Linked DNA regions of Arabidopsis thaliana. The protein of the gene in region 1 interacts with the protein of each later gene in a pairwise test. Each region holds a gene or a part of one and is shown in the gene's direction. Other genes may lie near its edges. The genes, in order: FLA14 and AT4G14480.

Region 1 (3,560 bases):
TGCAGGGACATTATCCACTACCCGCCCTTTGGAAGATGCTAGTTCTCGAACAATCTTTGTCGCCAATGTAATAATTGTTAATGTTTTTATACTCGTGAACTTGAATTGAGCAAAAACTTGTCAATTGGTGTATTAATTTGAATGTGATTGGTCGTAAAACAGGTTCATTTTGGTGCCACCAAGGACAGCCTTTCAAGGCATTTTAACAAGTTTGGTGAAGTGCTTAAAGCTTTCATAGTTACTGATCCAGCAACAGGACAACCAAGTGGGTAAGTTGTCTGAATTCATGACCCCAATTAATGTCTTGATATGTCACAGTTCAGTTATCGAGGATACCTTAGTGACCCAAGTTGATCGCCTTTTGCAGATCAGCGTACATTGAGTTCACACGCAAAGAAGCTGCAGAGAATGCATTGTCTCTGGATGGTACCTCTTTCATGTCTCGGATTCTCAAGGTAAATATTGAAGCCCGTGTTTAACTGTTTACCATAGCCAACTTATTGTGATCTTTAGGATTGGTTAGCATCTTAGTAGGATAAGGAATGAGTTTGTGTATATTTTGATGGATACAGATTGTGAAAGGAAGCAATGGACAAAATCAAGAGGCTGCATCGAGCATGTCATGGTCTCGAGGTGGAAGGTTCACAAGAGCCCCATCATACTTTAGAGGTGGTGCAGTTAGGGGTCGTTCTGTTGTTAGAGGTGGAGGCAGGAGTATGCAATGGAAGCGTGATTCAGCTGACACAGGAAACAACAACAATGTAGCTCCCAACAATGCTCGTAGTCTCACGTATGTCAGAGCAGAATCAAAATCAGACGGAGTTGCCAACGATTGATTGATTAGAAAGAGAAGCAAGAGCTTAGGTAAAACAAAGGAAGATGAGTTTTATCATCTACCTTATCGGATATTATTCTCAATTGTTTTTTTTTTTGGCTCTATAAAGCTACTCCAAAACTTTCACTTGTATTGACTTTCATGCTTCTTCAATCGTTTGGTTATTAATGAAAAAAGAAAGACAAAAAATATTGTATTTCAAGCTCTCATGGTGATAACAAGAGGAACAAGTTACCGAAACACAAGGCAACAACGCACAAGATGGAAACAACACGAGCTCTAACGAACAACAGATTGAGATTCTTAGCAACTTGAAGTGTCAAAGTAAGAATCTGCAGCCTACCTAACTCTTCCATCTTCTTGAAGAAGTACATTGGCTTCAACGATCTTCTCACCATCAACGCCATCGCAAACGGGAATCCGAAAGCTATACAGCTCTGAATTGTCATTTCCTTCATCGGATCTGCTCGAGTGGCGTATAAAATCGCCGCTCCAAGAATCAATTGAGTTAAACCCAAAGCACCCATAGCTCCACTTAGACTATACATATTCTTCATCATCCCTTCCAACACTTGTCTCGTCTCATTTCCTAACGCTGACAAATCGCGTTCCACAGTTGGTCCTTCGATCTCCTGGTGCTTCATCTTCTGCAGCTCCTCTTCCTTCGATTCCTCTGGCTTCTTCGGCTCGGTCTCTCCGCTTGGTGTCGAGAAATACCTCGGTGACCATGTTTCAGATCTAAGTTTGTCGATATTGAAAACAGAAAAGGATCTTAAGAGACCAAGCTCCTTAGTTACTGATCCGTGGATCAGATGGTTTCTTATGAGAGATGAGGAAGATTGGAGATGACGGCGAGAGACGTGGAAAGATGGAGAAGACAAGGGTTTAAGGAATTTTGAAACCAATCGACGAGAGATCATCATCGTCGTCGCCGATTTCGATGCAGAGAAGAAGCTCTACGTAATTAATTTAGGGTTTCTATTATTGCCAATTGTTTTGGGCTCATCTTTCACTTTCGGCCCAATCCATCAAATTATAGCTTCTAGCCAAGTCAACGGTTTAGATCAATTTTAACCGGTTCTTTGGTTTAGACTATCATCGATACTAACAAGATTTTGGCTCATGACCATTTACATTATCATCATCGCTCTATGAGATTACTCGTATATCCCAATGCATAGAACTCGATGTGCAACAAGTGGCTTACTCTAAAGTGAATTGAGCAATATAATCGGTACCTACAAGTGCTCTTAATCCAAGACAAAACACCAAGTTCCCACAAAGTTTGGAGAAACACACTCTCTTCCTCATGCCTATTCAATATAAAAGCCAAATGCCACCAAATTTTTTAAATAAACTCATCAAGCGATTCACAAGTCACAACAATGTCTTCTTCACTTACAATCTTCTTCTTCTTTTTTGCTTCCACATTCCTCTACACTTCATCAAATTCATTCAACATCACTAACATCTTAAACGAGCACGATGATTTCTCAAATTTCAACCAGCTTCTCTCCGAAACTCAGCTCGCTTCTACCATCAACAAACGTCAAACCATAACCGTCCTTGTGGTTTCCAACGGTGCACTCTCCTCTCTCTCTGGCCAACCAACCTCCGTCATCAAGAAAATCCTTAGCCTTCACATTGTTTTAGATTACTACGACCAGAAGAAACTCAAGAATCTGAGCAAGAAAACAGTACTCCTCACCACTCTTTTCCAATCTAGCGGTCTAGCCAGAGGCCAACAAGGGTTCTTGAACGCAACCGTTATGAAAAACGGAGACGTGGCGTTTGGTTCTGCGGTTCCTGGGTCTAGCCTTGATGCTCAGCTTCAAGACACTGTAGCAGCACTACCGTTTAACATCTCTGTGCTTCATATTAGTAGTGCTATAATGATTGATGTTAAAGGTGATAATGCACCTACTGCTTCTCCTTTGTCACCGGTATCATCTCCACCACGCCCTGCAGAATCACCTAATGATGATGGTCAAGATTTTGACGAGCCACCATCCTCTGCTCCTGGTGCTGCTGCTGATGAACCTTCCGAAAACGCCGGCTCAGCTAATGGAGTTTCAAGAAACGATTCTCAGCCCGCTTTCGCGTTTACGCTGTTGATGTCATTCATTTGGTGGTTCATGGCTCGACTTCGATGAGAAACAGTGTGCAAAGAACTAAACAGATCAGTTCAGGTTTTTGTAAGGAAAGCCAAAAAAAAAAGATAAAACAGACGCAGCTCGGATGGCTGCAAAAACATGAACACTAAAAAGTACGAAAAGATTTAGCTTGACAAGTTCTATGGGAAAAATAAATTGAGCGATACAATAAAGACAGAAAAATGTAACATTCAAAGTTCTTGGATATTATCTTTACTTAAGTTGTTGAAAGCACCTATTAGTTACAAAACACAAACTGCAAATTTTTGTTATTATTCAACGAGCCAGAAGAAACTAGAATATAGATCTTTATTAGTTTTTAGCTATGAAAGGTAAAAAGTAACCCAAGAACAGGAAGCACATTCATATCCATGTCTCTCCCCAAACCCTAACAACGAAACCAAACAAGTTTTCAAGACAAGGAAACAAAACTCAGGGACTATACATGTCGACTTGCTTAAAGAAAGCTTTGATTAAAAGCAAAAAAGCTTAAAAAGTGCAGTAAAATTGTTCCTTTCTCGAGTCAGTGGTGAAGCCCGTTTCCATTGCTATAGACATTGCCGTTCTGATGA
Region 2 (4,762 bases), on another chromosome or scaffold:
TTGGCGGGTGAAAGGAAATGATAAGGACAAGCATAGTGGCGATGACGTGGCGCTTTCGTTGACCGACAAGTTATATCCCACGCGTCAGATCTTAGCGCGTCGTGTTCACTACGTAGAGGAATATACTCAAAAATCAATTATTGTGTTAGCATTAGAAGCACGTTTTGTTGATTTGCAACAATTGTAGATAAGAGCCTAATTAATTTATAGGAGTAAGGTTAAATTTGGTTGATTTCGAATATAAAAGGGAATTTTAACAGTGGATATCCAAATGATGAGGTGAGATACACGCGAGGGTAAAGGAGCGTGAGGGGAAAAAGGTTGGAAAAAAAGTGGATAAGGGAGAGATAAGTTTGCTGAGAGATTCACGTGTGTTGCTGGAAGTTTGGGTAATCAATAATGCCAGTTGTTTAGCCAATAGTAGCTTTTAGCCTTGAAATTGTTTTATCGTCGAAACGATAAAAGCCCATTTAAGGCCCATTAATAATTGGAGCGTCAGACAAATCAAAATTTCAAAATTCGCATTTGGGAGAGAAACGGTAACAATGGTTACGCCATCGTTGAGATTAGTATTCGTCAAGGGTCCAAGAGAAGGCGATGCTCTAGATTACAAGCCTGGATCTACGATTCGTGTTGGTCGAATCGTTCGTGGTAATGAAATCGCAATTAAAGACGCTGGAATCTCCACTAAGCATCTTCGGATCGAATCGGATTCTGGGAATTGGGTAATACAAGATCTTGGATCTTCCAACGGTACTTTATTGAATTCGAATGCTCTTGATCCAGAGACGTCGGTAAATCTCGGAGATGGCGATGTTATCAAACTAGGTGAGTATACATCTATTTTGGTGAATTTTGTGATTGATGATTTTCAGGAGAAGAAGCTTACGAGGAACAATAGGCGTCAGGCTAATGCGAGGAAGCGAATTAGGGTTTTAGAAAGTATCAATTTGGGGGATATCACTGAGGAAGAAAAGGGTTTGGATGTGAAATTTGAGAACAAGCCGAGTTCTAGGGTTAGGAAAGTTAGGAAAATCGAGGATTCGGAGAAATTAGGGATTACTGATGGATTACAAGAGGATCTGGTGGAGAAAAATGGAAGCTTTAGGAATGTTGAAAGTATTCAGAGTTCATCTGTAAACTTAATTAAGGTTGAAATGGAGGATTGTGCAATGGTGGAGGAAAATTTAGGGAGGGGATTGAAGAAGAGAGTGAGCAGTAAGGCTACGAGGAGCAAGAAGATTGAAGAAAGTGTAGGAAAAGCTTGTTTGGGAGTGGTTAATGTAGAGAAGGTAGAGACTTTAAAGGAGAAGAGGATTACTAGGGCTACAAGAAGCAAGAAGATTGATATTGTTGGAGATTCTTATTTGGAATTGGACATGGTTCTAAATCGAGCCAGAAAGAACAAAGGGAAGAACAAGAAAGCGGATCAGAAGCCGTTGAAGAGCTTTGAAAATGATGAGGTTACTGATTCAGGAGAGCAGGGTTTAAGCTGTCATGTTGAAGAAGATATGAACAATGAACTTGATACAGATCTAAGAAAGATGACATTAGGAGCATTGTTCAGTTTTCTGGAGGGTCATCTGTCAAAAGAGATAATTCACAAGACAGAAAATATGATTGAGCCCATGCGAAGTAAAACTCAGAGAGTTCGTGAGTATATTTCAGATCAAAGAAAAGTTCAGGCTAAAGCGTGTATGTGTTGAATTGACAAAGTGTCCAACTGATATGGTGCACACTGATTATTGGTATAGCTTCAGTTCATGGAATAAGAAACACATACTGACAGGTACAAGTTTCTTATGAAGTAGACCTTAATGCTGTGGGATTGGCTGTGTTGCTTAGAGTTTTGACTGCATTGATTTACTTGCATTTGCTTTACGTGTGAGACAAAGTAAACAGTGAAGTGCTGATGTTTAAGTAGGTTTCATAAGTCTTTTGCCCACTTTATAGTATATGTTTCAAGGACATCCCTGAAGACTTATAAAACAAGTTCTGTTCCATTGTGATTTTATCTTAGCATATTGATGTTTGAATACTTGATCATTCATTTTACCAAATGTCAAGAAGGCTGACGTCTTTTCTCTAGTCTTTGTTTCCTTCTCATGTGGTCAAAGGCAAATGCAAGTTCTTCAGAAATGCCATGAAAAAAAAGTTGTAAAACGAGTCTAGATATCTAAATCTAGAACTTTAAATTTCTGTGAAATGATGAAAATAAATTTTCATAGCTCCATTTAATTTTTGTACCTTTACCGGTTTGAAGTTGAAATGATAGTGTTTGCCCTTTGGGTCCCTGGAAAGACCAAAGGTAAAATCTCATTAACTAAGGTTAGTTAGTTAGCTCTTTCACATGCTTCATCTTATTGTTTCATCAACATATTTTTAAGTAAGAGATAAGGGTTTTGCTTTTACATTAAAGGCTCTCTTTTTTTTCAAGTTCACATGCTAAACCAACTCTTTCTTTTTTCATCCCTATATGAATAGCCTCATGGTACTATTAGCCTCTAAAAGACCACAATTCCACTAAAAACATAACAATTCAATAAGCAAGAGTGTACTCATCTTCTTTCTATTTATGGCTCGGAACAAGCTCGAGTTCCCTCTTGATGCTGAAGCCTACGAGATCATCTGCAAGATAGGCGTTGGTGTTAGTGCTTCGGTCTACAAGGCCATATGCATTCCGATGAACTCAATGGTAGTTGCTATCAAAGCCATCGATCTTGATCAGTCGCGGGCTGACTTTGACAGTCTTCGCCGTGAAACCAAGACGATGTCTCTGCTTTCTCATCCGAATATTCTCAATGCTTATTGTTCATTCACCGTTGATCGATGTCTCTGGGTGGTTATGCCATTCATGTCTTGTGGCTCTCTTCATTCGATCGTCTCTTCGTCTTTTCCAAGTGGGTTACCAGAAAACTGCATTTCCGTCTTCCTCAAGGAAACTCTGAATGCAATCTCGTATCTTCACGATCAGGGTCATTTGCACCGTGACATCAAGGCAGGTAACATTCTGGTAGATTCTGATGGATCCGTGAAGCTCGCTGATTTCGGAGTATCTGCATCCATCTATGAACCCGTGACATCTTCCTCTGGAACAACATCTTCTTCTTTAAGGTTAACTGATATAGCGGGAACACCGTATTGGATGGCTCCGGAAGTGGTTCATTCCCACACAGGGTATGGTTTCAAAGCAGACATTTGGTCTTTCGGGATAACAGCGTTGGAGTTAGCACATGGAAGACCTCCGTTATCTCACTTACCGCCGTTGAAGAGTCTGCTCATGAAGATCACCAAAAGGTTTCATTTTTCTGATTACGAGATCAATACGAGCGGAAGCAGCAAAAAGGGTAACAAGAAGTTCTCAAAAGCTTTTAGAGAAATGGTTGGTTTGTGTCTAGAGCAAGATCCTACTAAAAGACCATCGGCAGAGAAGTTGTTGAAGCATCCTTTTTTCAAGAACTGTAAAGGACTCGACTTTGTGGTCAAGAACGTGTTGCATAGCTTGTCAAACGCAGAGCAGATGTTTATGGAGAGTCAGATTTTGATCAAGAGTGTTGGAGATGATGATGAAGAAGAAGAAGAAGAAGACGAAGAGATAGTGAAGAATAGAAGAATCAGTGGGTGGAATTTCCGTGAAGACGATCTCCAACTTAGTCCAGTGTTCCCAGCTACTGAATCAGACTCTTCTGAGTCCAGTCCACGTGAAGAAGATCAATCAAAAGACAAAAAGGAAGACGATAACGTCACAATAACGGGGTATGAACTCGGTTTAGGTTTGTCGAACGAGGAAGCTAAGAACCAAGAAGGTGAGGTTGTTGGGTTTGATAAAGATTTGGTGTTAGAGAAACTGAAAGTGTTGAAGAAAAGTTTAGAGCATCAAAGAGCAAGAGTGTCGATTATAATCGAAGCATTGAGTGGGGACAAGGAAGAGAAGAGCAGAGAAGAAGAGCTTCTAGAGATGGTGGAGAAGTTAAAGATTGAATTGGAAACTGAGAAGCTAAAGACCTTGCGTGCTGATAAAGATAGTGTTTTGGGTTAACTATTCTAAACTTGTTAATATTTTTTTTCTATATGCTAAAATTATATAAGTGGCATGACATTACGATCAATTGTTTTCAATTTAACTCGTTTTATTTGTCAGTTTAGAATGGCTCCAAATTAAGTTTTGGTAAACAAGTTATATATTCACCAAAACAACATATAAATATTTCCTCTTCATAAAATTTAATAAAGAACAATAAAGTAAAATCACAACAACAAAATGTAAAATTGATATGAATTACAAATACATATTCCCTATTTACTGATGTACTTCTTAGAATCAAATTTACTTTAATAGTCTACTAATTTGATTGTATTTTGCATCTTCAAACACTTTCATCTCGAAAGAAAAAAACTTAATGTTTTTTTTTTTTTAATGTAATGTTAAATTAGATTCAAAAGAAAAATGTCTTTTGTACAACAAGTGCAACGTGAGTTTGAAAAAGGCTAAATACATTTTAGATCAAAGAAACTAGTATAAATTTCTTGTTGCAAACCAAATTTGAAGTCCCGTCTCATGTCTTCTTTCTCCGCTTGTGTTCAGTGAAGAAAGTCGATCTCTTACTTGCTTGTCTATCCATCGGATTAAACGCACCGGTGGATTTGGTTGTTCGCCATGCCGCCGATTGTTACGTTTCCTCCAGATAGTATGAATCGTTGCTTGGAAGACATAGTGAGCTATGAACCGCTTTGTTCGATCTTGCCAATGACCCGAAGTGGC

Evidence for each region.
Region 2: the proteins of FLA14 (region 1) and AT4G14480 interact in a protein complementation assay, tested with the Arabidopsis thaliana proteins (one large-scale study listed by BioGRID).

Annotation. Positions count from the first base shown.
Region 1 is NC_003074.8:4,016,840-4,020,399, forward strand, and holds FLA14 (FASCICLIN-like arabinogalactan protein 14 precursor), read left to right. Parts: upstream 1-2,220; coding exon 2,221-2,988; downstream 2,989-3,560. Other genes in the region: AT3G12640 (RNA binding (RRM/RBD/RNP motifs) family protein), read left to right, coding at 6-67, 163-269, 368-455, 573-836; AT3G12650 (uncharacterized protein), read right to left, coding at 1,042-1,758; emb2742 (CTP synthase family protein), read right to left, coding at 3,512-3,560. UniProt on the Arabidopsis thaliana protein: May be a cell surface adhesion protein.
Region 2 is NC_003075.7:8,329,358-8,334,119, reverse strand, and holds AT4G14480 (Protein kinase superfamily protein), read left to right. Parts: upstream 1-2,255; 5' UTR 2,256-2,575; coding exon 2,576-4,039; 3' UTR 4,040-4,214; downstream 4,215-4,762. Other genes in the region: AT4G14490 (SMAD/FHA domain-containing protein), read left to right, coding at 546-1,706.